Linked DNA regions of Drosophila melanogaster. The protein of the gene in region 1 interacts with the protein of each later gene in a biochemical or structural test. Each region holds a gene or a part of one and is shown on either strand. Other genes may lie near its edges. The genes, in order: rhea and CalpB.

The links.
Region 2: of the proteins of rhea (region 1) and CalpB, one has a biochemical effect on the other in vitro, tested with the Drosophila melanogaster proteins (one study listed by BioGRID).

Annotation. Positions count from the first base shown.
Region 1 is NT_037436.4:8,538,924-8,554,302, forward strand, and holds the start of rhea (rhea), read left to right. Parts: upstream 1-6,077; 5' UTR 6,078-6,166; intron 6,167-7,751; exon of another isoform or gene 7,752-7,952; intron 7,953-15,379.
Region 2 is NT_037436.4:9,887,019-9,904,225, forward strand, and holds CalpB (Calpain-B), read left to right. Parts: upstream 1-1,743; 5' UTR 1,744-2,265; coding exon 2,266-3,206; intron 3,207-3,272; coding exon 3,273-3,547; intron 3,548-3,765; coding exon 3,766-5,327; 3' UTR 5,328-6,301; downstream 6,302-17,207. Other genes in the region: Taf2 (TBP-associated factor 2), read right to left, coding at 1-1,321, 1,384-1,438, 1,502-1,551; CG6709 (uncharacterized protein), read right to left, coding at 6,302-6,446, 6,500-6,636, 6,691-6,762; Hez (hezron), read right to left, coding at 6,974-7,264, 7,326-7,514, 7,572-7,652; CG6707 (uncharacterized protein), read right to left, coding at 8,742-8,858, 8,940-9,104, 9,161-9,370, 9,436-9,617, 10,911-11,037; CG46387 (uncharacterized protein), read left to right, coding at 11,713-12,150; nudE, read left to right, coding at 12,987-13,066, 13,135-13,288, 13,405-13,678, 13,743-14,000, 14,325-14,416, 14,543-14,818. UniProt on the Drosophila melanogaster protein: Calcium-regulated non-lysosomal thiol-protease.

The DNA.
Region 1 (15,379 bases):
GAAAAGTCTTATTGAACCAAAAGTATGAAAAGGTGCCGACATGATACAATATATGCTATGAAGTATTCTGACTCTTATTACTTTGGAAAATACACAAACAATTGTTTATATTATAATATTTCTTGTAATGATGTATTAGAGCTATACTAAACAATTTTAAGACCCTTAAATTTACTAAATAGTTTCCAATCCATTTAACCATCCAGATCAGTTTGATTTCCCAAATCAAATGGGATGAGTAGCCGTGAAAGGATGTCAAAACTTTAATAATCCATATTGCATATTTACACATCTGTGGAATTTCAGAGCTCACCACAATCCATTAGTAAATGAAATTCATAAATCCCCTCCCGAATGTCCTTATTGCCTCCCTCTTCCAATCAGCAAACCGACAAACGAGGACGACAGTTTGCAACATTTGCCAAACATTTGAGAAAAAAAAGGGGACACATAAAATCAAAGTCAAAGTAGTTACGATGTAACGGGGTGGATCTGTCTGGCTATATCGGTGCGATATAAGTAAGTATCCTTCGATGTTGACAAATCCCCAGACCATGTCCTGCATATCCTGCCAAAGGAGGAGCAGCGGCAGCAGCGTGACAAATGTTGCGCAAACAAATGGATTACATTGCTACCACAGAGCAAGCTACCCAAATGCCTCGCAATGAATCATAAATTTCCATAACTGTCATCCGATCTGGGCAGATTTCTTTTCCTCATCGGTCGGCGAAGAAAGCAAATTGGTCGTCACCGGATTACGAACTTTGTAGCTAATCCGTAAATTGAAATTCGCTACGTAATTTGCTAATGACCCGAACGAGGATTAAAGGACCAAGTTGAAATTGATACAGACTCATCAAATTGTTATAGGAAATTTTAGAAAGAAAGTTTTCTAGCACTTGTATATATTTGTATATATCGTAATATATTACAGATGGATTTTCCATGTACATTTATCAAAGTAAATTGGCATTAACTGCTATTTCCCAAACTATAAATAGTGTTCGATCTATTCCAAGCGAATTTAAAGATTTATGAGTTGAAAGAATTGAATTTTTCGTTTCGCTTGATTTCTTTATCAATGATTCCTGCAGCAATTTAAAATCCTTCCATCTGCATTCCAACGAATTTAGAGCAGGAACACTCCCATACAAAGTGCAAGGACAATGGGAGAACTGCTCCTCGGCTGCTGGATGTTTGTGCAACTGCTTTAGTTTCCCGTGGCCATTAAGTCGCGGGTCGGCGGATGACAAAGGATAGTCCATTAGACACAAGTCACAATTCAATTGAAGCGAGCTGGCAAATGGGTGTCCCCCATTGAAACCCTCATCCTTCTGGGCTGCATTCTGCACTTTGAGTCCTGCGCCCTTTGTGATTCATTTTTGCAAGCGAAACCAGAACAAAAGTCGGGCCTGGATAATATTTTGCGCTTTTTGGTATGACGAATCCACATGTCGCACACGAATCGAATGGGCAAACTCGCCTCCTGGTCGAGGGGAAAGGCCCGGAAAAATCCGGGAAAACCCCCTGCTCCTGTCATCCGTTTAGCGGGCAATCAAGCGTGTAGGGCAATTCAATAAGCCGGCAGTGGTTGGGGTGCCACAAGCTTGGAGAACTTTATCAACACCCATGTCGGCATTAGTTTTGTTTACAAACTTTCCGTTGCCTTTTTGACAGTTTGCCCGGGGTGGACGCCATACCATTTGTGCACCCCCCACCCACTCCAAACATTTTCCCAGTCCACACTTTTCCGGGGTGGATTTTCGCTTGGATTTTTATTTATGAGCACTTAAATCGAAGCGCAAACTGAAATTGCACAGTGCACATCTACATAAATATGCAATTGCGGGATTGTGAGAAAGTAGTATCGCTGATAAATGATGAAAAAATTATAAATAAATACGGAATACATCGCTGCCCCTCCTCCTTGTTGTTATATGTTTCTTTTTTTTTTCCTTTTGCGATTCATCGCATCCCTCATGTAGATGTCACCCCAACCAGGTCCTTAGATGACAGCTCCCGATAATGGTGACATCAATTTGAAACTCAATTGAGCCTGTTCCGAGCTCCTTGATAAATGCTGTGCTATCAGCGCCGTTTATCGTCCTCAGCTTTTTGACTGGGTGCGACAAGTCAGCGAATTGGAAACGGAATTGAACAGCCAACCCCCACAAGGTGAGGGGTTCCATCGCCCTGGTATCCTCTGGCTCATCCATGCTCATCCTTGCCCAATCCTTGATCTCTGGGGCGTTGCGAGCAGTTTACATGTTTAATGCCTGCTTAATTGCTGCCTATGTCTCAGCGGGGCAGATCCTTTAGCCAGGATAAGCGGCCGTCCTGTGAATAGTGACATGTCAGCGGTCCCAGAAACTAAAATGAAATGCTCATTTCGGGAAAATTAAGTGAAGACTATTAAGATAAAATGCATTTCGAAATGGATGCTATACGTTAGAGTTTTGGTAAGGAAATGCACGATTTTATAGAGCGAATAAATTTGTTTTGAATATAAATATAGAAAAAATTTAATAAAGATACGGAAATATAGGTGTTCCTAGTAGTTCTTAGGAGGCATTAATCAAAAAATTGATCCAAGTTATTGAAAAAAATTTAATAAAACTTTCAATTACACGCTGCAAATAAACATTTTAATGCCTTGAAATGTCAATAAATGCCTTAAACGAATGGAACTTTTAACAAGCTCACTGCACCACCTCCTCCACTTGACACCCCTGACTCCAAGCCAAATTCCAAATCCTCGGATACGAACTCAACCTCAACATGGCCATTAGGCCAAGTCGGTGCATGGCCTCGCCAGGATAAATAGACTGTTGAGTCATTAAACAATTTACGCAGCCATAAATTTACGCAATTTACTTAGTGCGCAAACACACACATCCCGCAGGATGCCGAATGTCCTGGACAGGGCAATAAAAAATACCCCTCCAGCCTGGGCTGGAATCGAGAAACATTAACACATCTGGCCAGATACAAAGTGCTTGAGCTTGGGCTTGGGTTTGGGTTTGGGTTTGGGCTTGTGTCGTCCGCCTGAGCGATTAACTTTTTGCATCCTTCACACTTGGCTGGGCGAGTTAACCCAGCGTCATCATCTTCATCATCTCCTATCCTGGAGCAAGGACATTGCCCACGCGCCGCTTGTTTGCATTTTTATTGCCACACGCTGCGGGGTTGCAGGATGTCGATTTTCAGCACGGCCGCCACGAAATTTTAATGAAATCGTCATCAATTAAAATTCGCTCTCTTCCATGTCCATGCCCCCAGACGCCAGTGACAAAGGCAATGACAATGACACGGCACAACACTCCAGTTTCACATTTGACTGCACTCAGAGAAATGAATTCTCTAAAAGAAACACAAATAGCTATAATGGATTGCCAAGGTCTTCCAAAGTCTTAAAGTATCTAAGATTCAAACAGATTACATTTCATAGATCAGTGAAAGATGCTTGCATCAGTTTTAACATAACTACCATAAGTTCTTATACTAAACTCTTTCTAAAGTCTCAATGATTTCTTCCTGTGCACTCCTTTGGGCTTGTTCCATCTTTTTACGACCGAGACGTCCATCCGGGCACTTCCACGAGCTTAGTCTCGGATTGCTTATAGGATTCTCCGGCGCATAACTCGCCATACTCGTGCCTGGGATCGTTCTCAGCTATAAAAATAATTTGTGGCCAAAAACTCCCCTTCCATTCAGCTTCAATCCCGATCTCGAATTCATCCAAAAGGGGTTTGGGTCGTACGGCTGCCGTCAATTTGTAGTCGTTTGCTTGTTTTTCCAGCCTCGCCCTAATGGCTTTTCATAAATTTTTATTGTTCTCAATATAAGTTTTTCATAGCTGCCCGCATGCAAATGTCCTTCGAGTGCTTCGAATTTGTGGGGAATTTGTCGGGCAATATGAAAACGAGTTTACGCCTTTCCAGAATGCTAAACAAATTGGGGAGAAAGGACGGTTCACTTTATAATTGTGAAGCAAATCGAATTTAAAGGTTTCGAAACGAATTTCCCAACAATTGTAAGCGGAATCTACACTAAATAATACATTTATTTCTAAATTAATGGGTATTAAGAAATGGATATGAATTTATTTCCGTTTTTTGTTTAGCAATAATTTCTAAACATTTTGTAAGTGTCTGGTACTAGTTTCTAAAAACAGAGAAGCAATTACAAATTTCAAGCAATTAGTTCTTTTGAAAACACTCAAACTTCTTGTCATCATAAATTTCTACGTTTTTCAAGTTTTTCTAGTTTTTGTTGTACTTAAAATATGAAAAAAACTTATTATATTTCAACCAATTTATTCGTCTCCAAAGAGCTCAGATTCATCCGCAACTAGAAACCAGAAATGCATTCGGAAAACTACAAACTCAATTAGATGGCCATAAATCTCCGGCAGAGTCAAGAACCCTCTAAATTTTGGTTGATAAAATGCCGAAATTATCACGGCCCAAGCACATGATATATGGGCATTCGGCTTGGCCGGTTTAACCCATTAGCCAGCCGGAAGATCGCTCAATTAGCGTTGCTCCTCGCTGCTGGTCAGTCCCAAGTCCCAAATCCCAAGTGGGTCACTCGAGGAAAGGATTTGCGAATCGGGTTTTTATTTGCCATTACCGAAAACCAAACTCCCTGGCCTCTTTGTTGGGCCAACAAAGTGACATAAATCTTGGCGAGCGCTGGCACAAACTCAACCGGAACTAAAGCAATGACGCAGCAGGAGCACCAGGACACATGTCGATGCGTTCTGCTCATCCATTTCGCTTGCTCCTCCTTGGCCAGCAGTCATAACGGGCGTGTGTGTAAAGCGAGTGTGCCAGTTCCGAGATTTATCGGCCCGAGGGGTGAGTCCATATCTGCACATCCTGCATCTTCTATCTGCGTATCGGTTTGGCAGGCCTCGAATCGCGGGACATCAATGCTCAATGCCCAATGCCCAATGCCGGATGCCCAGAACGACAGGCGTTCGATTGAAATTAATTGAATTTGCGCCCAAGCCACGAACTTGACTTCGTTTCAAGAAATTTCTCAAGCGCGCAGGGGCGGGCATTGTGCACAGAGAGAAATTTTTATATGAAGAATATAGTGTTTTATGTATGAAGGTTTTCTGAAAGTTCGCTTTAAAATGTTTCTCTTGAAATTTCCAATAATTAAATTCAAGTTTGATAGTAGCAAAAGGAATGTTTATCCCCCCCTTTGATAATTTTGCAACTTGTCTTTAATTACTTCTCATTTTTTAAGAGTGTTGCGAAAGAAGGACCGTGGACGCTTGTTTCCTGTTTATGCTCGAGATGTTTTGCAGCATAAATTACGCGTACACATATACCCATGTATTCGCGCATATGATATCCTTGACAAGTCGAGAAAGGAGAAGGGAAAAAAACAGGAACATTAAATTTATTTTTATTTCGCTGCCTTATAGGGAAAGCAACCCCAGTGAAAGGGCCCCCAAAGACGCGCGCTATGTGCGGTCCGTTGACTTTGGCGAAGTCATGAATTCGCTTGCTTATTTTTATGATTTTGGCTAGTTTTTGTTTTTCGGCCCTTAGATTGCTCGTCTATTTTCTGAGGGTTGTAAGTTGCACACTTGGTTGCCCTCCAATCGCCGAAATCAAAACGGAAACGATGATCGTCTCGGAGAAAATTCAGGAAAGCCAGACAAATTTATCAAGTTTGTGTGGGGGTGCGCTTTGGTGGGGCTTGTAACCTTCATTAATCATGTGGATATGTTGTTTTTATAGGATTCGACTACAAATCGCTTAATCTTTAAGCCTTGTTTTAGTTAGACTGCATTAGTTGGGGGTTTTATTTTAAATTTGGCGCTCATGCCTTTACATTTGGGGTGACCCTGCACTTAACAGTCTGCCATTGGCATAACAGCTCTGTGTGCAGACTACTTTTTGCTTGCCGTAGTAATTTCAAATATTATAGAAGTATAGGCAAACTATGATTAGAACTTGTAAATTTATATATTTTTTATTTATTTTGTAATTATGTGACCCAAACGCTAATTGGTTCCGATAGCCGCAATGACTTATCGATAGCTGCTTGACGCACGGTCACACTGTCTTAACTACGGAATATTTTGTAAAGTGTTAGTTTTATTTACTCGATTTTAGCTCTCTTTAAGCCCTTTTCGCCGTGTGTTTCTGTAAGTTAACCAATGTTTAAAACCCCAAGTGCACAAATCAGTTTAAAGCCCCTTTCCCGCGGCATGAAAACGCGTCAAACAAAGCCAGTGGAGATTCAGCTGCGGCCTGGCCAACAAGAACTCATTTCGATTCGTTCGCACATTTTGTTGTTGCCGCCTAGTGGGTGCTCCTCCGGGGTGGAGTCATCATCGTTATCCCTACCCCCAGTTGTTGGCGCCGACTGTCCGGATTTTGGTCTCTCCCACATGTCCCGCACATTTGTTTTTGTCGGTCACGCGAATTCCGCCCTTTTAACCAAGTTTCCAGTGTAACAACAAAAGGGGGCAAAAAAAGGGAACGCCCGCATTTGTATGTTTGTTCGTTTGTTTGCTTGTAAGCATCGTCTACGTTTTATGCTAATTAAAGTGCAACATTTTTTTTTTAGCCAAAGCTGCGAATATAATTCAATTAACGAGAGTCCAACTGCGACTGCCTCGCATTATCAGCACAGCAGTTGGTTTGGTTTGACGGCTTTATCTGAGCAGCTGGATGAGCGTGCAGAATAGCATGGTGTATATGTATATGGGGTACATTCCATACGCGATAAGATAACCCCCGGTTGCTGAAGAAGAAGAAGAAGAAGCGCCGGATTCGCGGGAGTTGGCAATTGCCTTCAATTCTCAAGTTAATTGTGGAGTTAGCTGTGCAACTGCAACCCTCAAAGATCCGAGACGAGGACCCACAAGACTCGTGCCTACATCCCGCTGTCAGTGGCATAGAGATTCACTCTTCCCGGGATCAGGCCCTCAATTGCGTCAATAATTGGACCTAATTGAAGTCAACAGGCTATTATTTTGCCTCCTTTGTTTATGCACGTTTTTGGAAACTGTTGTATTCAATTATTTCAACTGAGATTGAAATTTCTCATGTATTCTGTTTGTGTAAGAGTTTTAAATGCAGATACTTTCCTAAAAAGAGACTGGTCCTGTTTAGATTATAGTATCTATAGAGATTTGAACCCATAAAGATTACGTTAATATTGTTGATTGTTTAGAAGCATTCCTTTTGGGGAATAATCTAGTCCGTCAAAGAGTCATTGATATTATAGATAAGAAATGTTTGGGTCATATAACATCATCAAAACAAAACGTCATTACCAAAACATTTCAAAATACTAATACTTACAACGCTCCAATCGCTTGACTAGCTTAGCCCTTGAAAAGCAGGAGTAATGTCCATTTCTTAGAAAACCCCATGTGACTAAGCGCACTTCCTCTTCCAATTTCTCGCTTCCTCTCTGCTCACTTTTGAGAAGAAAGAAAGAGCCATAAGTTGGGCAACAAAAGATTAGTCACCACTGGCACGGGTCCATCACCTTGTGGCCACTACCTTCTCCTCCGCTGCCCCTTCATTTCACCGCCCTCCCTCTGGCTGGCACCTTTTGTTTTGTTTACATTTGCAGACGGCGATCAGGAGAATCGGAAGAATCAGAGAGGAGAGAAGCCTAGCAGCAGGTGGCTCTCTTCGCGGCTCTCCCATCTGTTGCTCATGCTGCTCACACTGCCCATGGAACCGAGCGAACCACTCGCTTCTATGGCCCGCTCATTCGAGTTTCGTCCGTCGTCGGTGCCAATTCGTTCGATTGTGCCGCGCCCGATATCGCTATTGAAATATATATATATATACATATATCTACCCATATATATGTATAGGCGATTCGTACATATATGAATATCGCATATCGTGCATATCGTTCAAGTTCAAATATCAAAAGAGTTTCCAGCCCAATTGTGGGAATTAAAGAAGGTATATACATGACGAGAGTGCGCGGTCATAAGTGTGTGACATATGGTGTTATTTTTATCCATTCCGAGTGGAATATGTGCCACAAAAAGGCAGTTCCATTGTGTAACTAAGTTCAAACGCCAAATGCACGTTGCGCCTGCGCGATGCGCGCCAAAAACCCATCGGAAAACCCTTTTCCCCATTTCGGATGTCGAGCGTTTTAGAAAACAAGCTGAAAATTACCTCATCGCGCTGCCGGCGCCAGCGTCGACGTCTGCCGTTTGATGTCTGCCCCTGACTACGCTGGTCCACAGAGAAAAAATTTGGATTATAATAGATCACTAGGCTATATCTTATGACGTGCTAGCGAAATCTTAGGACTAGTCAGATTAGCATAATTCGCTTTTCACGATGATGCTTTTTTTTGTATTTGTATATGGATATAAACCTGAGCAAAGGGTTCCATTCAACAACAATGTATAGTATTTGATTATGTAATCAAGAAGTACTGCATTATTTATATTACTGTTTATCAAAAAAATACTATATTATTCTCTGTGTACACAAACATATAGATATTTCATTCTATATTTCTTGCTTGCCTAGCAGCTGGCGGCTGGCCTCCCACTCCCCTCCTCCACAAATGCGATTTATCTTTAAGATACAACGTACGCTAAGATTTGTTTGGTATCTGTACGTAGATTTATTGTTTTTTTTTGTTACGCTCTTTCCTCGCTCTTCTCTTCACCGATTTAAATATCTCGCGTCTTTCGATGTTTTGTCATAATTTCTCTGGCTTTTGTCCTGTTTTCTACACATTTTTTGTCCGATTGTTTGGCAAATTTCGCCGTCGCTCCATTTTGTGGGCGTATTTTGTATATTATTTATCCATTATCTCGAAATGTCAATGCGCTCGTTTAAAGCTGTTGTTATTTTCAGTCTCTCTCACTTTTTCGAGCGTTTCGACCTTATTAGCAGTGGGCTTCGGTTTTGGAATGCCCGCCACATAAACACGCTTCGGAAACATAAAGAAATCGAGATCGGAGCTCATTTTCACTCCATGCTCCACTGTGTGGGCAGTGCATCGGCTCCACATCTACCAAATATTTCGGACGTAGACGTGGGGACGCTCAGCATCCGCCAAGATATTAGTACACTTCACAAATATTAATGCTCAAAGATCTAAATATCATTATCAAAACATTAAAATATGAGTTTCTTATTTGGAGAATGCATGTTACTTTGTTCTTCTGGAATTCTGTTTTCTACTGACCCATTGTCGTTCATAATAAATATTTCAACACTTTCATTTTCTCCTGATAAGATCTTTACTACATGTTAAAACACTCGAAGGAAAATAAGTATGAGAGTGTTCCAATTTCACCATCTTATCTGCAATTCGATTTCCTCCTCAAAACTCAACTCATGATATATGTACCTATTTCTAGGCAAGCTGATATCAGTAATGTCTTTATACTTCATTGTTTGTATATTTGTATCCGTACAATCCAATGATAATAATCCACATGTTTGGAATGTTGCTTAGACCTCGATTTACTATATATTTATAAGCTATTTATAGCAATTATCCAAAAAGTATTACCCGGAATTTGTTAAGTGATCCGCGTGCACATTCGGCTCGGCTGGAGCGGCAATTCATTGAGCAAACTGATTTGTAACTCGGTCACTGGTGGAAACACTGGTGGGCAGCAGCTTGTGTTGCCCATTTTGGGGCACGTTTCGATTGCCAGACAAGTGACTGCATTTTCCACTTGTATCTGTTGGATAGTTTTTTTTTTCATGGTTTTGCATACTTTTCGTTCGCCGTTTTATTAATTGAGCTGTATTCATTAATTCTTTGCTTTGCTTTGGGGCGAGACGAGTGCAAAGGTCTTCCACTGATCGCTGGCCATACAACTTTCGAATACGAGATTGATGTCCCGGGGATGTTTACGCAGCGAGGATTACTTCATAATTTCGGGACTAATTGAATTGGTTTTTTTGGGCAAGCGTGAGATGGGAACTTTTTGATTGCTTGGTAATGTGAAATGACACTAAAATAGGGCGTGAAAGTTAAAAGTGTAAAAATCGCTTATGAACCGTTCAATATTTATTCACCCATGTTACCTCTGTTATATATTTCGATTTTTCGCCCATTTGTTCGATTTACTTTTCAAGCTCAATTAAAATAAATTAAGCCACCCGTTCAACTCGTTACAATATCGAAAAAAAAACTACTGGCGGCAACCAGAAGAACAAAAGCAAAACGACCAGCGTAATAACAATTAAAAAATAAAAATAACAACTGGTGTGTGTGCTCTATTTTCTTAACGCCTCAGCATTTTCAATGGTTTTGTATTGCACTTGAGATACATGAATGCATACATGCTGAATATACATTGGCTATATATAGCTACACTGGGCAAACAAACCATCTACAATATTATTGATCTTGTGTAGAAGTCCTAAGATAACACTCAGATATGTTGTAACTTAGGTTCTGTACCAAAGTCGTATATCTATTAAGATATGAAGAACATACTTTTCTGCTTAGCGGTCATGTTTTCCCTACAACTATGCAACTTGATAAACGTTTTTGAGAAAATCTTAAATATTGTTCTCTCTGTACAACAGATACAGCTACTTGGGGCTGATGTGAGTTTATGTGGGCTTAATGCTGCCGCACACATGTTTCGCTTTTTCACCGGACCTGAATCAAACAACCGAAATGCTAAATAAACAAAATGGGCCGCAGAACTCAGAACTCGTAGATGATTCCATATTGAGTTCGATTGGCCGTAGCGTATTGTGGAATAGTTTATTGTTTTGGAATGTTTCTTAATAACGCGGAACTCGAGTGGCGGAGGTGGAAGCACCGACCAGAAACGACCGATCTGAATCGGAATCTCGAACATTTCCATCTCGACTCAACTCGATTTCACTCGATTCGCATTCCGTTTTCGCACGCACACTCATCGTTGAGTCATTAAGAATCGCTGGCAGGAAGGAGTAGAGATGGAGCCCCTTGTTTACTATTAATGCTGATAAAGAATATGCATTCGCTTCTAAAAATAAACGGCAAGTATTCATTCGCATTTGTTGTCTGGCCATCGGCGGCATAACGTTTATTGTCACCATGTTTGTATGCAAACAAACGCATGCGAAGATTTATGCAAAAATTTTATTTTTTTTCCCCATCGACCACTGGACTACCGAACTTGGCGAGAGATGTGTACGTATCATTTTATTTGTTTCGTTTATCGCCGATGGCAGTGGGGATTGGATTGGGTTGGGCTCCACCGATCGGGTTGCCGCCTCCTATATCTCACGGTGGGTGTCGTAAATCCCTGGCCGATTACGTCAGTAATTCATTGGCGCTTTTTTTTTTTTGCCGGAGAGCCTGAGAGTGAACACGCATTTGGGCACTTCATCAATCTGTCAGTCCATCAGCGAAACGATTCGATGCGGTCAGTCGATAAGTCCGCCTTGGCATTCCCATTGCAATGGGTTGCGGTTTGTCACACACCCCCTGGATTCCCGCCGTGTGGAATTGTAATGAAAAATTGATGGAAATCTTGAGGATTCCGATTTTATAGCCCCATAGCGCCAAGTGAAATTTCTCTAACCGAAACCATTAGACGAACAAATTAGCATACATATTTTGATTGATTGGTTTTTAATTAGTGACAAAAAAGGTTCTATGCTTATGAGAAATATCTGAAACACATGAGAAATGTGTATAAGCCATTTTAACATTTAAATTTGAACAAAACATAAAGAACTAAATTTTATATCATCATGGACTTTTAAAGCGATATTTATGATCCGTGACTCAGTTGCGTTGAATCTAGAAAACTTTCTTGTGGACCTTGGCCGTCATTAAGGAAGTTATAGTGTAGTTAACCCCACATTTTATGCATTCCTTTCCCGATTTGATTATCTCTCCTCTGGATGGCTCCCCTTTTCCGGCGATTGTCGTGTCCATCGGCAGTTATCGCTAGGCTTGGCCTTGCCTCGCAATTTATTTCCATCTGGCTGTGGGGATTGGGTGGCTCTTTTAATCAATGGAACTGCTTTGTGTGTCGCCAGTGGCAGTGAGTGAGTGTGAAAATAAAAATTCATTTCTTATTCGGCTTATTCGAATGCATTGGCATTCGAGTGTTTGAGTGCTGCCCCTCAAAGTCAACTCAGCTGCAGCAGCTTCTCGCCCCTCTCGCAGGGATGCCCCTGACTATTTGTTATATCGCTATATATAGAAATACGCACATATAACTTTGTATATATGGTGTATGGCACTGTCGCTTTTGGCACTCACTTGTGCGAAAATCCATTGGAGCCCGACTGGCGGGAGCCTAATTTTTTGCCGTCTCCGATTGACGATGTCGGCTGTGGATGAGGGGCAGCTTACGGGTGGAATGGGAGAAGTAGGTGGCCACCGGAGAGGGTGACTCAAAGAAAAGAAGGGGGGCTCCTTCTTAAGTGGGTAGGCAGTGGCATGGGAATGGAACTTGGCATCCAATCATAAAATTGCTTGGCAATGTCTTTCGTATGTAGATGGTGTATGAGGCACGTTGAGAACAGGAAGGAAGGAAGCTAAGGCAATCCATGTTGGCAGGAAATGTGAAATTTGTTTGGGGGGAATATACACTGAAGTCGGTAAAAGTGCTGACTAAATATGTATATTCACGAGCAGTATCTAAAGTTAAAATCAGTTTGTATAAGATTATGTAAAGTAATATAAGAAGTCTTCTCAACTCTGATTTTTTTTTTAAATCACAGCATATACATTTTCAATTTCTTTATCTTAACAAAGGAGTATACATACATGTATAATCTCTTTATTCTTAGATTCTTAGAGTTTGGGTATCATAAGCTGAGCTAATTACACGCACGCTCCTTTCCAAAGGATTTATAATTAGAGCATTGATCCTTATCACTTGGTTGACATAATTTGGACACATTATGGTGTGCCACCACCTTGATGATAATTGAAAATTACAGGGCCATCGAGACCTTTCAGTCAACCCGATCCCATCCAGCAACCACCCACTTGCAGTCGACTCCCCGTTTTGACGTCACTTCTGTCGTCGCCGTCGTCGATTCATTCGATTTGATTTGTTTGTTTGCCTTACCCACCCACCCATCTGCCCATCCATCCATCCATCTAGGGATCTCCATCCATCCTTTGGTCGTTTGTTCGTTTGTTTATTTGTGTATTTTGTTACTTTTAATGCATCTTTTATCTGGATTTTGCCATCATCATTGGCTGCCCATTGTTGTTGTGCTGGCGATGCTGATAGCGATACACAAATTTGAGCCCCATTGTTGGCCACATTGCTCATTGCCCATTGCCTCAGCGGAGTTGCCCCAGCGACGATGGCTTGTTTACTCAAATTACAGCCGCAGTTAGGGGTTATCCAAGGTGCACATATAGTCCCTGTATGTCAAATCTGCCAAGTTGACCCCCGTTGTGAGTTTGTGAGTACTGAACTGTGCGGACTGTGCTTTTTTATCGGGCCACTCAACTTGGATAGTTTTCCATGGGGAAAATGTATTCGATGAAAATGCAAGCTCAAGGAGAATATTATTTCAAGTAAAAAGTGTTTATTGGCGATCATTTGAGTTGAGTTGAATGAACCAATCCGAGAAAAAGAAACGTAGGAACGTGACTGTTGTTTATAAGTCGTTTAAATCTGAACGAATTCGAGTTGAATGTGCAAAATGTTCAAATAAACAATGTGGGCAATACCTTTGTGGGCATTACAGTAAACAATCGGGCATTTCATTCGATTCTTTAAGCATATATGAGCTCCTTTGCTCTTCTGTACTTCTCATTGCACTTTAAATCGTTTTAAATAATTCAAGAAGCAATCTTTATTCTGACTTCTTTAAAATTCGCTTTATAGTTTGAATCAGTGCTTTTATGAATGGACACTCAGTCAGCTTACATAGTTCTACAGAATAAACTATATTTTTTTATGGGGAATCCGTCTAGCTTTTGACTGCCATAATTACGCTCATTAGGCCATTTACAGTACCTTGTCACTGGATCGTGACACATTTGTTTAACGATCAGTTTTTTTCGCTGACCACCTCGTCAATTTCCGCTGACATGAAAAGTGAAATAAAAGTTTTTACACGAGTCGTTTGATGATGCTGAGTTACATTATTCAAGCGCAACCAAAAATCAAGCGAGTCGCCGGTGGGCATCGCGCTCTGCGGCCATCTGTTGGACCTCCAAACTAGCCCGTGTGTACTACACATAAATTGAAAATTTCTATAAATTCAGCTATGACTCAGGGATCGAGCAAAAAATAAGCAAATGAATGAGCCAAGAGCAGCAGCATCATCATCATCACCGCCACCAGCCAAGTACAGTGAAAGCTCCACAGAGAGACCCTTTCGATGGATCAAAGATCTGTGTGATAGGTGAGATTCGGCTAGCAAAGAATTGACTGTGTGTGAAGATTCGGTGGCCGGCTTCTTGAGATGCTCAGCTTATCCGCTTAGGTGGCAGCGTTCTATTTCCAGTGTTGCATGAACATCGTGCCACAGTTTCTGCTCAGGGGGCAAGTGTGATCCGTAGGGATTGCCTTTTCTCACACTTTTAGTTTCGAAACTGTTCATTGATTTTATATTTGGGGGCGCATCGAATAGAAAATCCAAGAGATTTGTCTGCTCTCCAAATAATATTTGTTTACCTTGAAAGTTCTCGTTTGGACATGGTATTTATAGCGCTCCATTTATACATATATATATAGAATGGATTTAGGTTTGGGCACATATAGTATGGCTGTTGTTATGGTTTAATTAAAATCTGTTTTGCTTTTATCGTAGAGGGAACATTTTCCTCGAGCGCTTTTTTCAACGCAATTTACGTTGGATTTTCTTTGGCAGTTTATTTAAATTCTCCTTTCTCTCGTTTTATTTTTATTGTGAGTTGTGATGTGATTTATAGCATTGGAAGCTGATTTAAGCACTTGCATGTGTAGTCATCACCGCTCGCATGTGATGATGTATTATTTTATTTGTCATTATGTGTGTACATAATTAGTGATTTTGGGCATGTGCTGAAACTTACCCGAAAGACTAATCCAATACACAAAAAATGTGAGATTAGTATAAATATAAAAATGAATAGCTTTTATGGAAGACAATTACTGCGGTTAATTCTGAGAGTATCTTGCGAGTATTATGAATAGCTGCCCGTTTCTATCTCGGTTTTCAACATGTGTATCTGCTGCCGTTTCGGGTCAATAAACCCATACAACAGTTCCTCCTAATCTGCCGTGTCCACGTTGTCTGGCTCGGTCATAAAGAACTCGAAACCCTTTTTAACAGCTCGGAGGTTCGGCATTGTAGAACGTGCCTGAGCACCTAGACCGACATCTGGCTGCATGGCAGAATCGTGCCAAGGTCTCAGATTGTGTTCGCCATAACTACGTGAC
Region 2 (17,207 bases), 1.3 Mb from region 1:
ACACCTGAATCAGCAGCTCCTGCCCGATGCGGTTCTCCAGCATCCGGATTACGAAATGCGCTTTCCTTCGCATCGCCTCCACATACTTCGGCGATACGGTGTGCAAACTCTTGATGGGAAAATAGTGGACAATCTCCTGCTGTTTGCTGGAAGCCGCCGATTGATTTGTGCCCGAAACAGGCAAAGGAGCTGGCGGCTGACTGCAATCGAGAATAATGCCGCCATACTGCTCCTCGTAGCGAACGACACGCGCCAGTTCAGATTGCACCCAAGCACGGTACTCGTTGTTGCCGAAGCACTTCCTGGAATACAATCCACACAGGTACTCCGCAATGCCCTTGGCCAGCCAGGTGTCCGACCAATGATGGGATGTAATAAAGCAGCCGAAGAATTGCTCAGCCACAGCGCGCGACATAAAGGTTCGAGATATATAGGTCTGATCGATGATAGCTATGGAGTGCAGCAGATTCACCGAAGCAATGCTCATAGTGGCATAGGCACTTATGTCCGTGTCCAATTCGTCTACAAACACTTGTTTGTAGCAACTGAATGGGTAGCGCGTAGATAAGGTCTCCTCGTAAAATTCAAATGCCTCGTGCAAATAGCGAACCGTATTTTTTAACAGCGGCAACAATCCGGGCAGACAAAAGTGGGTCACTTCATGCATGTGCGGATCCACGTAGATCTCAAACTGACCCACAGCCAGCGCAATATTTGGTGCACATACTGGTGTGCTAACCGAATAGTGGAAGGTTTTCTTTCGCAGATCTGGGGTCATAATGACTTCTAGAAGTTCTCCACACGAAACGGCGGTCATATTTTTGTCGACAGTGAACTCCAGCCGCCAGGTGCAGGGATCGGCGAAACTGTCCACGCAGGGAAACCACAATCTCGACGAGTTTTCATAGCAATTGGTGAACATATGCGAGCTGTTCATCTGTGTCTCCTCGTCCGTTGAAGCGGGTGGTATGACAAAATGTACGCCGCATTTGGGATTCTCCAACGAGAACTCGATGCGGATGCGCAGACCCTGACCCTCCTGGATCATAGAGTAGCCCTCGGGCGGAACCTGGATGAGCAGTTCGCCGTTGTTCACATCGGGATCGGTGTACTGGGCGGCGGTCAGATGATGCTTGGAGTAGACCTCCAGCGCGCGGCTCTTGTGCTCCTTGTAGCAGATGTTCTGGAAGGGATCGAAGTACGTGAAATCCGCCTGGCAGACATCGTTCAAAACGACGCTGTAGATTCTCAGCTGCTTGGCATTCAGGCGTATCAGGCGCAGATTCTCGCTGTTCGGCACAATGGTCAGCTCGACCACGCCCTAAAGGGAGGAGGTGTGTTATGTTTTGTACATATTTAAGTGTATCTAAGTTATATCCTTACGATTATGCTCCTCCGCTCGAAACTGATGCCCGTGAGGCTCACAACCTGATGCGCCGTGCTATTCAAAAGGGAGAACTCATTATTTTTGGATTCCTAACAGAGCAGGGTGAATACTTATAATTTAAACGGTCGCAGCGGCACCTCGGGCACCTCAGGTTGCGTTTCCATCGCTCAAATGCCGGTTCTGCGCCAGAATTTATTAACTAATTTGCGTTTGTTATAAAAAAAAACACAGCACTGTTTAACTTCTTCTTCTTCTATTGAAAATGCCGACAGGGCTAAAAAAATACCAAATTCATTCGGATAAAGATGGCAACTCTGCGCGACAATGTAGCCCTGCTCGCCTTTTTTTAACCCTCGAAACGTGTTGGGTCTTCAATATTGACACTAATTTAATAGTTTACGTTCGTAAACAATATAGACTACATAACTACTTCTCTAATACCATAAAAATACATTTTTTAGAAAACTAAAATTTATTAAAAGCTATATTTGTTTTTATTGAAACTGTTTAATAAAACAAAATTAATATTTCTATAATATATTTTCTGAGTTAATAAATGAATTAGAATGTTATAAATATTTCATTCTGCATTTTCAAAGCTTTTTTGATTGCACATGCATATTCAAAGAAAATTTATACAGAACGCGCAAGGGTTAAAGATTATGAATCATTTACCGAGAAAGTTAAATTTGGATACTTCTCCCATTTAAAGCGTACGATTCTCAGCGAGTCAGCAGTTTTACCACGGCAGCGAGTTAATAAACATCTGGATATCATCCAGTTCCGTAGTTTTAGCCGATTTGCAACGCCATTAGTAGTTAGATTTAGGGAAAAACCAGTGCGTGGACGAGGAAAACCACAGCGAAAAACCAGTAAAAATGTACGGCATTGATAATTACCCCAAGAATTATCATGCCAGTGGCATTGGCCTTGTCAATTTGGCGGCCTTGGGCTACAGCAAGAATGAAGTCAGCGGCGGGAACGAAGGAGGAGGAGCTCCCAAACCCAAAGCGGGTCTCTACCCCTCGTTGCCCTATCCATCATCCGAATCCGTGGGCGGAATGCCATATGTGGTAAAGCAGACGAGTCATGCCCAGAATGCTTCGTATGCGGGACCCACCATGGGCATGGGAATGCCCGTGCCAGAAGCCCCCTCAGCGCCGGCTCCATACCCCAGTGCCACGCCATACCCTGGATCAGGACTTTATCCTAGTCTGCCATCAGCCAACGTATCATCGCTGCCGTACCCCACTGCGCCTATGGCGCCCTATCCAACCGGAATGCCCTATCCAACTGGCATGCCGCAGCCCAATCTACCCTATCCGGCGGCTCCGCTCGCACCATATCCATCTGCCATGCCCGGTTTGCCCGGTATGCCAATGCCGTACGCTCCCATGCCAACGAGTCCGGCTCCCCAGCACAATATCGGATTCCCAGCACTACCATATCCCACGGCACCGCCACCGGAAAGTGCTCCAACCCAGGAGGAGGAACCTTCCGTCGGCGTGGCCGAGCTAAGCTTCACCAGCGTGAAGGTGCCCGAGAACCAGAACATGTTTTGGATGGGTCGCAAGGCCACTAGTGCCCGGCAGAACAGCGTAAGCAAAGGCGATTTCCAATCGCTGCGCGACAGTTGCCTGGCTAATGGAACCATGTTCGAGGATCCCGATTTTCCGGCCACCAACGCTTCGCTGATGTACTCACGACGACCGGATCGCTACTACGAGTGGCTGCGTCCCGGTGACATCGCCGATGATCCGCAGTTCTTCGTGGAAGGCTATTCACGATTCGATGTGCAACAAGGAGAACTTGGCGATTGGTAAGACCAAACGCATTAATAACACATAAGTGGACATAAATTCAAAAATTAAATATTCCTTCACAGCTGGCTACTGGCTGCAGCTGCCAATTTGACGCAGGACTCGACGCTCTTCTTTAGGGTAATCCCGCCGGATCAGGACTTCCAGGAGAACTACGCTGGCATCTTTCACTTCAAGTTTTGGCAGTATGGCAAGTGGGTGGAAGTGGTCATTGATGACCGTCTGCCCACCTATAATGGCGAGCTAATCTACATGCACTCCACGGAGAAGAACGAGTTTTGGAGTGCCTTGCTGGAGAAGGCTTATGCAAAGCTGCATGGATCTTATGAAGCACTCAAGGGTAGGAAATGGAATATTATCAGTATTTGTAGAAGCGTAGAAAATTTGTGGCATACCAAAATTTATTTTAGTTTCTAAAAATACACTATGCTTATCATATGTTCTTAAAAAAAAATAAACTAATGTGGCACTTATCGCGGTTAGGACTTTGTTGAATAGATCTGAAATTTAAATACTTTCATTCTAATAATTTTTTTGTAACCATCTCTTCACGATTAGGCGGCACCACGTGCGAGGCCATGGAGGACTTTACTGGCGGCGTCACCGAGTGGTACGACATCAAGGAGGCGCCCCCAAATCTATTCAGCATCATGATGAAGGCCGCCGAGCGTGGCTCGATGATGGGCTGCTCTTTGGAGCCGGATCCACATGTTCTGGAAGCGGAGACGCCACAAGGTTTGATTCGCGGTCATGCATACTCCATTACCAAGGTGTGCCTCATGGACATATCGACGCCCAATCGGCAGGGAAAATTGCCCATGATACGTATGCGTAATCCATGGGGCAACGATGCCGAATGGAGCGGTCCGTGGAGCGACAGCTCGCCTGAGTGGCGATTTATTCCGGAGCACACGAAGGAGGAGATTGGCCTGAATTTCGATAGGGACGGCGAGTTCTGGATGTCCTTCCAGGACTTCCTCAATCATTTTGATCGCGTGGAGATATGTAATTTGTCGCCCGACTCGCTGACTGAGGATCAGCAGCACAGCTCTCGCCGCAAGTGGGAAATGTCCATGTTCGAGGGTGAGTGGACATCGGGAGTAACAGCCGGCGGTTGCAGAAACTTCCTGGAAACCTTCTGGCACAATCCGCAGTACATCATTTCGCTGGAGGATCCCGACGACGAGGATGACGATGGCAAATGCACGGCTATTGTGGCCCTTATGCAGAAGAATCGACGTAGCAAGCGCAACGTGGGCATCGACTGTCTGACCATCGGATTTGCTATATATCATCTCACAGACCGTGACATGCAAGTGAAGCCCCAGGGACTCAACTTCTTCAAGTACCGAGCATCGGTGGCGCGTTCACCACATTTTATCAACACGCGCGAGGTTTGCGCCCGGTTTAAGTTGCCACCTGGCCACTACCTGATTGTTCCATCGACCTTCGATCCGAATGAGGAGGGCGAGTTCATTATTCGCGTCTTCTCGGAGACAAGGAACAATATGGAGGAGAACGACGATGAGGTTGGCTTTGGCGAGACCGACGATCGCATTGCTCCGTCTCTGCCGCCACCGACTCCAAAGGAGGAGGATGATCCGCAGCGCATTGCACTGCGTCGTCTGTTCGACAGCGTGGCTGGCAGCGATGAGGAAGTCGACTGGCAGGAGCTGAAGCGCATCCTGGACCACTCTATGCGCGATGTTATGGTGGGCAGTGATGGCTTCTCCAAGGATGCCGTGCGTTCGATGGTAGCCATGCTGGACAAGGATCGCTCCGGTCGCCTTGGTTTCGAGGAGTTCGAAGCTCTGCTTACCGATATTGCCAAGTGGCGGGCGGTCTTTAAGCTATATGACACCCGTCGCACTGGCAGTATTGATGGATTCCATCTGCGCGGAGCACTCAATTCGGCTGGCTATCATCTGAACAACCGGCTCCTGAACGCCCTGGCCCATCGCTACGGATCGCGGGAGGGACAAATACCATTCGACGATTTCCTGATGTGTGCCATCAAGGTTAGAACATTCATCGAGATGTTCCGCGAACGGGACACGGACAATTCGGACACGGCCTTCTTCAACTTGGACGACTGGCTGGAGCGAACAATTTACTCTTAAATTACTTGCAATTGCTACTAATCTAATCCTAAGTGCGACGTATACTTAATCTACCTGTGCATCATATTATTCATGCATTCAAATGAGAAAGCCAACACACAAATCCATGACAATGCGATCCGGCGATGCAAAGAGATACACTCACTGAGCCAACAAGAGAATCTTATCTATATGACCATATCCGGAAATACAAATCATGTGGCGAAATTGGAGTGGCCTTGGAACGGCACGAGGTTGCTACGAGTATGCACGGTAAACAGTATAAATCCCGCATACACAATTCAAAAAATTAACGCTATAGATTTTTTTTTACCATGCTGCGCAACTGGAGGGATGACTAAGAGCAAGCATCAATAGCAAATCCACTCCATGCACCTCGTCAAGAGCCGGAAATTTACTAGTACAAACAGTGCATTATTACCTTACAATCGCTATGAGACGCTCGGAAAGCCATTAGAACGCATCGACAATATTTATTAGATATACGGAATGAATAAGCATGTATTTTTGTAACATCGTTAGCTCCGAGCAGTCCACATATTTGCCCAGGTGCTAGAAATAAGTCCAGCCAAACTCTGTTACCCAAACAAACGTTGTTATTATTATCAGGAAAGTAACGCGAAGCGAACAAGCCAACCAACTCATCGAATATTTATAAGCTTAAGCAGAATTTCAGAATATCAGTCAATTTATTGAATCACATCAAAAAATGTAATACGCATATATTTTGTATTTAGTTTTCAGATCAGTAATCTCAAAACATACCTTAATTAGGCACCCTCTATGTCAAAATAAGTGTTTAACTAACTGAAATTAACCAATCGGGTTTAGAGGCTCTTTTTGTTGGATGCTTTTATATTTTACTATAATTTTTGTGAATTAATCAAAGTTACTCTTGTATGCAATTGTTACTATTAATAATTTGTTGTCCGACTTTTTGTATGCATATAAATAAAATGCAGTGATGATTCAATCTACTTGACGACTATAACTACATCAGCACCATTCGGGACGCCAGCATCGATCATTATTTGCTTCATTTCATCTATAGCCAGATTGTTATCGGATGCCAAGTTATTTAGGACCTCGAGAAAGTCTTCGTACTCCAAACGCCATTTCCTGAAACATGTATTTGATTAAGAATGATATGTAGATTTGATGTAGTTACTCACTTGTATCGCATGTATATTAAACCGGTCTGAGTTCGAGTTATGGGATTGGGCATGAGCTTGGCCTGCTCTAGCCAGGCGTCCAACTGCGAGAGGAGTATGCTGTCAAAGTACTCGTTCTCGATGTCGGTGGGTATGACCTGGCATCATTTAGATGAAAATTACTCTTCAATTAACCGGGTCATTCATCATACCTGGAAGTTGGAATACACCAAGAACAGGCTGTCCAGCGTGTGCTTCTTTGGTTTATCTTCATCATCGGCCATCGTGTATTATGTGTGTTGGGTGTTGTGGTGTAGTGTATTAAATCGAATTTGTACAAACGAGAATGGTTTCCCCTGGCAGATAAAGAGCAGTATTCTGTGTGGGTGTCATGGCTATATGTATGTGTATTTTGAATTGTTTTGTTGATAAACAAAACGTACAGAGAATCGGATGCTATCTAGACAACTGTTGCCATGGGCACGGGCCATCGTTCTAGAATTGTTTACTGCAAAAGTTTTGAACGACCTCTTGGACGCATATCGCCAGCTTGGGATTCCAATCGAGGTATCGGATATTCTCCGTGGCATACGGCGCATCGATGACCACCTGACGGAGTATATTGATCGCCACTTGGTCGCCTTTGTTCTGCCAGATGATAGCGGGATCACCGAATCGCTTGACTAACAGTCTGAACAGAGCTTGACCAAAGGGCGAGGCATTGGGATGATAGCTCCGGCAGGAGAGCGTACGATGTTCGGTTGCGTATCGGTATCGTTCTCGGATCTGCAATTGCAAATGGTTGAATGGGGTTTCTTTTAAATATCTATATAGAGAGTGCTTCTACCATGGGCAAATCAATCGGTTCTGGCTGTTGAACTTCAGCCGGCGGAATTGCTTCCTTTACTATTTCAATGTCCATGCACAGGGATAGGTTCACAATGGTCACATTGCAAGTGGTCTGTTCGTCGCCACCGCCATTGCTTGATGGACACTTCATTATCAGCATTTTCACGCCCAGATCGAAGGCCACAACCTGGGAAATTGAAAGCATTACATAATCATAAAAATAATAAATAATATTTAGTTTTACCTCGCCCGAAATGTTGTCGCCAAAACAAGTCTTGCAGCGCACAATAGAGCCCACAGTAAAGCAAGGAGCCAATGATGACATCTTGGCCAAGGAACTTAAAAACTTTAAAAATGTAATCGAAATCGAAAATCCCAGCCGATGTCCGATGTCAAGTTCAAGGCACTCTATTCTACTTTCATAGCCTTGTCATTTTGTCGCCAAAAAGTTGGTGGTGCTTGTGGTTTTATTTCTTTTTATTTACAGTGTATGTATGCTAATTTATAATGTACTAAATATAAATGTTGTTGTATATATATATATATATTTCAAAAGTAAACCGTTCCTTTTAATCATATATATATATGCAATTTCGCAGTTTAGCAGTTGCTGTCTAAATTAATTTTCTTTATATCTGCATGAGCGTTTGCTTGTTCTCTGTTGTTCAAGAAATGTTGCTTTGTTTATTTGCATTATAATTATGTATTTATGGTATTGTATATGCGCGTATGTGTATGTACCTTCATTAGCACTATTAGCATACCCTTCAAATTGTTTCTAACGCCAGGCAACAAAACGCTTTCCTCCGCTTTGGCGAGAACTGAGAAAAAGTGCATTGGTTAAATTTTAGGCAACACAAAACTCAAAAGCGTATCAACGAATACGTAATGTATGAATACCGAAATATCTTGCAGGACAGGCACGAACGGATAACAAATCGGACACTTAAACAACGAAACTGTACAATCTTTAAAATGGATCCTGACGATTCTAAAAATGAGATGCACTGTGGATTGATCGGTCGCTGGTCTAATAACTAATGACTGCCAACACAGATCGGGGTTTTCCTTTTTTACTTTTAGCACTTGAATGGTAGCTGCACGGCGACCCTTGAAATATTCGCTTTTAGTATAGTGTTTAGTTAGTTACGGCCTTAATATCCTAATTATGCTCTTCAACGGGGAGACCTTCTTTCGTAAATTTAGCTAGGTTTGCTATTAGTTTTGCTCGAAACGAAGAATTTTTGTATGTAGCTGAACTGCTGGAGAAATGTTCATATGTTCCGTCTGCAAATTGGCTGCTTGTGTTTAGTTTTAAATTTAATATCAAAAGGAATGATATATATGAATAATATATATATATAAAAATAAAACAATGCACTTTCTTCCTTGCTACTGGCCCCGTGCTTTAGCTTTACATTGGCCCATCGATGGCGCTCACTTTAAGGCGGAAATAGTAGGCGGACCTGGCCAGCATGCAACCCGAAATCACGAACAGCGCCACGTAGAGGAAGTACATGCCACCATGATCCTGGAAAAATGCAAAAGGAAACACACATATGGGTTTAGAAAATCACATACTTCAGCTTGATTTTAAATTGATTTGGCTTACCGAAGCAATCGAGTATGTGCCGATAGTTACAGCGATGCCTGTGATGAGGAACACCAGCGCCACGATGGCGAACATCACGGCGCGGCTGTTGGCAAAGCGCGAGCCCACCGATGAGACCTTCCTGCAGTGTGGACACCGGGCCAAGGCGTTGTGATACGTGTTGAACTGTAAGAGCAAGCGTTACAAGACTCCTGCTGCTGTGATTTGGATTAATAACTCACCAAAAACGTGTCCGAACAGTGGCCACAAGTGACGCGGCACATGCCCGGCATGGTTGGCACGGGCGGGGTGACGGGACTTGGGGCCAGGTTGATGATCCTCTTGCAATTGGGCCTTGGACAAGCGATTCGCTGCGACGAGCTCTTGCAGATTAACAAACAGTTGCATGGGCAGCGAACATACTTCTTGCCCGCTGGAGCGTTCCGAATGGGCTGTTGATAGCCAAAAGCGTATTAAGTTACAATTGGATTCAAAGAATCTGCTTAGAATTACTCACAGTAGCCTCATTGCAGTGGGTGCACTTGACCACGTGCTGCTCCCGCTTCGTGGTGATGTCAATCATGTGTTGACATACCCGACAGGTGACCATCGGGACGCCTCCGGTGTTGGTACTCTGCTGATACGGCGGCGGCAGCTCATCGGGTCCAATGCAAGGCACTGCGGTCGGTGCTCCATTGCCTAAAATTCCATTGCAAAGTATTATTAACTACTTATAATATTGTTAAGACCCATGCCCTTCAAAGGCGAGACCTTTGGTGTAGAATAAATACATCTCGCCAGCAGAGTTCGCTCAACCACACTGCTCATCTGGCGGTGATTGGCTCATGGAGGGAGTGAGAACTGCATTTTCTGATAGTGTGCAGTGTGTGGCTCTGGGAAGCTGCGATAAACCAAATGGGTCAATGTTTTGGCGTTATGAATGCAGCTTTCTCGTACAAGCATTAAACTAGTGCAACTAGACCGCAGTTGTGGTTCTCGTCTCTCGATCAAAACAAGTTCGAACTTTGTGAAAGACGTTTTTAAATGAAAACAACGCAAAGAGTAACATCGCACACACTCTTTAGGAAAATTGATATGAAGTGGATAAATTGCAAATAAAGTCATATTACTTTGGCTAAATAAATATATAATGTCAAAAAGAAAGGAATACAGAAAGATAACCTATGCAAATTAATTGGGAACATGGAAAGTCGTAAAGCCCTTGTAACTAAACTCTTGTATATATTAATGATATGGACAAGCTTTTTCCGAGCTGAAGATCAGGTTCCTTGGTAAACAATGGAACCACTGCTCATCGCAGACCCTCATTTTCGCCCTGTATTGCGATAAGGCAGCGAATGACATGATGACTCATGGACTCATTGACTGCCCCCGCTTAACCACCACTATAGCAACACCTCCGAATCGATGCTGATTAAACAGCTGTGGGGAACGCTTTTTGCGCTGATTACGAGCGTCCTAGCATAAACAATAACAAAGGCGGTGCAAAAATTTTGCCGATACCGGCGTCGAGTAACTAACTACAATCGATCTTTACATTTTTGGCAGCTCTTCACAATTTCGTGATAAAATTACATTTTTTTTATGGTGTACGTGGCCCATTTGATATTTAGGCCAATAAGAAAATTTTATATTAGGTTGTAAATTTTTGGTAATACCAATAATACTGGGCCCTATTAAAAAATAAAAAAATGGCAGATAATTTAAAATGGCATTTGGGCACCACATATCCTATCAGTTTTTCTTTCTGTGCAGTCCCATTGCTCTCCCCCCGCACCAAACCACACGCATTTATGACTCAGTTGGGTGAAGTGTGAAAATGCCAAATGAGACGGCGAGCAGACAACTCGGAATCACGGCGTTGGATCCGGATAAGTGGAGCGCCCGCACACTTGTTGGGCTTCCAATGGGTTGCCCGCCCGGCTGATTGGATGCGGGTTGAATGCCCGGCTTTACAGTAACGATACGCACCGTCCTCGTTTGTGGCCACCGATGAGTTGCTGCCGGGATTATCGGCACCCTCGTCCACGGCGTCCACGGAATTGTAGCCATTGCCGTCGTCCTTGTTGATCAGGCTTTGTCGCTCTGGATCCGCCATTGTGGACTATCTTCCGATAAATGGATATTTATATGTGTGGACTATAATCTCTATATGCTGGAGCAATTCCCGTTAGGCTGCACTTCCAGTTGCCTTTGTTTTGTTGTTGCTGTTGCTGCGGGGGCTGCTGCAACGCGTTGATTTCAACTGGAAAATGAGTGGGAAATCCAATAGTTTAGTTGCTGTGCCACATAATTTCGGACGCAACGAGCTCTTTGTTCACGATTGCCGCAGTAGTTTGGTTTTTTTTTTCTTCGTTCGTCGCGGTTTTCACTCGCGTTGATTGAAACACATCCTCCCTTTTTTCACTTTTCGGCATGCGCCGCAATTAATCAATTCGATGATGCTGCATGTGCAACGCCCACGCGAGCTCGATTGTCGCACTCACACAGTTGACATTTGGTTATAATACTGGCAATTGCGTTAATTGTTTAACAATTGCTGGCCATAATTGTGCTATATTTTACCTTATTTTTGTTGAAAATGCACTGCAGTCGCTGCGATCTGGCCACACTCTGGCTAGCTATCTGGCAACGATGTCCCGTTTGAGATTTTTCAGTTGCGGCCCTGCCAGGGAGTTGCCACATCGTTGTACTTGGTAAAGAACCAGAAACAGATCAGCGAAAAATTGTTCATTTTTGGAACCAAAACAATCCAGCGCGGCTTAAAACAAATATGTCTAAAATCACGAAAAACTCCAATAAAATTGACAATAAGGATTCTGTAAGCGGGGAAGGCTCAAATAGTGGGGACGATAACACGTCCACAAGTTCAAGTGACTTTGAAACAAGCAGAAAACACAAACTACGCCGCAAATCCTGTCGAAATGTATCATATCATTATCATGCGCTGCCCATGCGCGTAGTTGGCGAAAATGTTGCAGCACTGCCACAAACTCCCAGCTCCACTCGTGATTTAACACTAAGCTCAGCTCAAATAATTGAAGATAGTTCCGACTCTGAGTTTCATATTTCGGACGATACCAGCAACGATGCGCCGGCCAACAAATCGATAACGTTCACAGCACGTCCATTAGAGAAATATGATTTGGAATATATAAGAAAACTACGTAAACGCAAAAAAAAGCCGAGTAAAACTTTATATGTTGATTAAATTTCAAATAACAACTGTTGACCAGGGCTGGAAACGGCAAATGCCCATCTATTGGCCAACACTGGCAACCCAAGCCAGGGTTGGCTTGTGCGTTTTTGGAGTAGTGGTAAATTTTTACGAGCATAACTATTTACACTGATTTTATGTAAATAAAACAAACAAAACGTAGCAAAATTAAGTGCAAAGTGTAAGTAGTAAATGTGGACAGTCGTGCTGTATAAAATTCTAGGTATAAACACTGGAATTCTACGAAAAAATCACCGATGATTTCATTTCCATGCAGTGCGTTGTTGTATGGGAAACTTCGTCGTAGCTATTTGTTGTTGTTGTTGTTGCTGCTGCTCATCACCATCATCCTCGTTGTTTTCGTTGTTGTTGCCGCAGCAGCTGCGTCACAAAAATGAGTTTTGTTTAATTTGATTTTATTTACATTTGATATGGACAAAACCGACTGCCCTTTTAGGGCATCGAACAAGAACAACAGCAACAGTAACTACAAAATTCAGGGCAAACACCTGTTCCTAATTGATTTTTCACTTTTCTTCGCCGACTTCTAGTCTATTCACCACCCCCAACACACAAAACAAAAAAAAAGTAAAACTACGACTTGAACAACAACTGTGTTTTGGCATTTTAATCACAGCAATTAAAAACAAAGCAGCCAAAAAACACGAATAAATAACCCAAACAGTAATAGACCAACCGTAGTACATAGCATTGTTCAGAAATTAAAAGTTAAATCAATTCGAACGAACGAAATTACAAACCCATTTTGACCGCCGATTAGTACACAAAAACCAGAAAAAGGAGTTAGCAGCTAAGGAAAATTTGCAGAAATGGAGTCGCCCCCGATGTTCAATAGTGTGGAAGATGAGTGCAGATATTGGAAGGAACGATCTAAGCAGTACCACAAAGAGTAAGTGCCCATCCCTATTACAGTCTCCGAAATCAGCCATATAGCCTAGTTTTACTTTTAATTTTCAGGTGGACAGACGTGAAACAGGAGTACGACGAGTTTGTGGAGCAGTCCCGCGAAATGGAAATAGAAATGGACGCCACTCTGGACCAGAAGCAGAGTATAATCAAAGATCTCACAGCCAAACTCACAATGTTTGAGCGGGAAAACGAGTCTCTCAAGGTAGCTATAAGCTAAGCCCGATTTACACAAACTGAGCTTAATTCTTAGACTCAGTTTGCGTATATGTGGCTTTGAGCTCCCGACAAGATTAGTCTTTACAACTATTTCATTCTCAGCTCAAGTTGGAATCGCATGGCATCGATATGTCAAACATGGAGAAACAGCTGGAAACGGTGAAGAAGGATCGCGACACCATGAAGGTGTACCTGCGGCAGCTGGAGCAGAAAAACGACGATTTGGAACGTGCCCATCGCATACTTAACGAAAGCATAGAGAATTTCGAGAAGATGCTGGATCAGGCCTACGAGAAGAACGCCCTTCTGGAGCTGGAAGTGGATGAAAAGGGATTGCTGCAGGAAAAACTACAGCGATTAATGGATGAGACGAGAGGTGGATGCATCTATACCAGATGTCCAGCACAGACTTTAAAACTAATTCATCAAATCTATTGCAGATCTCAAACAAGAGCTGAACGTCAAGTCACGCTTTACCCCAGTGGTCAATGGAACGAGCGTTCCCACGGCAAACGACACAAATACGGTCAACAGCTCGATGAACTCGTCCGCCTCGCTGCCAAATGGTATTGTTGCCAATGGCGAATTGGTAAAACACGACAATGCTGTCGCCACAAGAGCCACCAGCGTCAGCGTCAACGCCCTCAATGGCAGTTTAGTTAATAGAAACGAATATAACCAGCAGCATTCGCTTAAGAGTAAGATACTAAGTTCCCTAAAGAAAACCAGACGCGCGCTAAAACTGTCCAAGACGAATCGCCAAACGTTCAAGCCATGCATTTAGTATTGTTTTTCCATTTGTTTCTTTTTTACTTGTTAACCAAAAAATGTAGCCCGCTTAAGTTCCTCATAATTTGTAATTGTATTGTAAATTATTAAAATTAAGAGCCCAAATGTGACGAAAGAGTTTGCAACATTTCTTGTAGGCGATTTTTGTACGATTTGTGTTTGCGTCTGTAGCTAGTAGTTGACCTAACTAACCTCTCGACTAACATGCTGTGTACGTGTGCTTCCTCTTGCAGATCCCGAGAATCAAATCAATGGCAATTCCATGAACCCCAGCTCCCGCACAACGGCGCTCAACATTGTGGCCGACATGTTAAGAAAACTAAACGTAAGTCCCTCCGCAAACTATAAGTCCAGCATGCCATCCTACCTCATCCATTGTTTCGTATGTACATATGATCCTTGAACCCTTCACTCCCACCATCGGCTTATGTGTTTTTCCCTATGTTTTTAGTGGGACAAGGCACTGCTATGTCCCGAGTGCGAAAAGTTTCGCTGCATGTGTGAGCGCCCGGCAAGTGTGCAGCCGCCGCCGCCGCCATCGGCCAGCGAGGCAAGTCTTTTTCGCCGCGCCTTTGGCGGCAGCAGCAGCTCAGTGGCCACCAGTAGCGCCCAGTCCACGCCCACCAGCGATTGCAGCTCCGCCGGAAGCCTCAGTGCGGGCTCAAACATTTTTAGGCGCTTCGCCGAGCGCATGCGAAACTCGCCGGACGCCAGCCTGCCGCTCTGACAATGCGCTCGGAACTTTAAGGCTAATTTTAGTTGCCCTCCGCTTGCATTTATTAATTGCATTGGTTAATAAATACAAAATTTATTTGTACCTTATTTTATGTTCTTTGTTTTTGTTCGTTATGATTTATTCAGTTTCGAAAGCGCATAATAACTTGGCTTGCTGACTAAACTCTGCACTGGGCAAACCGTTGCGAAATGAAATTTTCATTAATTTATTTATTATATGATGTGCCCAAATCCTTCTATAGTTAATTTTTCATATAGTTCACTGACTGTTGCTTAATCCGCTCTCGTTTTGTGTTTTTTTTTTAGGCGATGGAGACGAAACTGAAGACGTACCGCGAGAATGGTCAGCCAATGCCGCAGCGACACCGCTCCTCCCAGCAATCCACACATCCGGCGCTGGCCGGACTGCCTTGCTTCTCGCTGGATGCCGAGTAGTGTGGATTCTGCAGTTCAGCGTGATCCACAAACCCCAAATCCGAAACCCAATCACCTAGGGCGGGATACTGTTCAGTTGGCTTTACGTTTACGTTACGTTACTTTAATGTTACTGTTCGCATTAATTAAGTTTCTGCTGCCTCTTTATTTATTTGAACTAAAATGACTTTGTATAAACCACTTGCGATATTATGAATTACACAACAGTTGATGTTGTTGTTTCGAGCCCAACATATATAACATGCCTTAGTACGAATTAAGTGTATACCTAAGCTATAAGTACCCACTCGGTTCACTTTTGACTTGAATTGTTAACTCGAACGCAATTGTTTTGGCATACAATGTGTTTAGCGACTAAGTTCAAAGTTGATCAACCAGCAAAACAAGCGAAGAAGCTCTGTCCAAGTATTATACTTCAAGCGGACAACCAATACTCGTAGCGTTTAGGAAAAAGACAAGATCTAACCCGGGAAAAAAAATTATTAAAATTATCGAAACGATCATCTAGTTATATTGTAACTATCCCCAGAGCTATTTTCTGTTTATATTTACCAGCGAATATAAATTTGTAAAAATGCAAAATATTGCTAACGGCAAACTGTATAAAGCATAACAAAACTCCAACGAACAGGCAAACAAAATATATATATATATGTATGAATAAAGAGCAAAATAATTAGTTTAATAGAAACCATCCACAAGCACATCAATGTCGATGCCGTGTGTGTTGCAACTAATTAGTTTTAAATAATATTTGAGTTCATTACACAAGTTGAATGCTGCGTCAATTCCTATGCCAAGGCCGAATTTTCATATCGAGAGCTTTTCGCAGGGGAAACTTTCCCCGTTTTAGACCCATTTCATTGCGGATTTTCCCGGAGCTTTAGCCCCAACCAAAAGGATGCTGAGCTCACTGAGTTTGTGGATGGAGTCGGCTGGTGGACGCACAGTGCTCCATGGTGGGCAAAGTAAACTGGATCTGATGCCGACCTTGCTGGCGAGAAGGTCCCGTTGGCGGTAAGCTAATGAAAGTACTTTGGTTTTTATAAGTAAGCACCGGGTGGGTTAGCGTCGTCGAGTGCTTGGCATTAAGCGAGCCATGCTAGCTGGTTGGCTGGAGAACTAACTCCTTTCCAGATGCCAAATCCGCCACAGCAAATGCAGCGAGGGAAAAGTGAAGTGAAAAATGAAAATATGACACAAGCTTTTATCATACGCATAGCACTTACCAGGGCAAAAAGGGATGGACTTTCCTGGACCTGCCTGGTGTTGCTGTTGCTCTTGTTTGCTGCTGAGTGCATTGTTTGCTCCCGTGGGCGGTATGGGCGGTCTAGGTGGTTGTCCAGGGGGCGTGGCAGTGGCCATAAGCGGATTGGGAATGGCACAATGCAATTGCCGTTTGAAATAAAAGTGAGCAGACACAAAGCCAGTCCTGCATGAGTGCACCGAAAAACAATTCGGATGCATCGGTTTATTCGATTTAGTTATGCAACTATTTATTTATTTATTTACTATCAATAAATGTGGGAAAATTCCTGTTTTGGATAAAATAATAGAATAAAAGATAAATTGGTACTTAAAAGTACCATTTTAAGTTCTAAGCATAATGTTTTATATTTTTTTTTTCTAAATAAAGTTATTGAATAATATTGAATTAAGAAGAATTTTGATATTTTTCTAAAAGTGAGTTGCTGACGATAAAGCTGGGAACTGAAGGTTATTCCCTTCCTTGGTCGCCCCTTTTTTTTTCAAAAGTAATTTGAAGAATCTGCCTCGTTTTTTTGCGCCGAGCCTGTCGCCTGATGAAGTCCCGCGGGAGGGACGATCCCGGGCAGCTAATTAACTGGCCGCGAATACCATTTGCCCAGGAGCACAAAGGCCAACAATCAGAACCTGGCCAACAGTTCCAATAAGCGGGTCAAGCGCAACTGCGAGCGAACCCGATT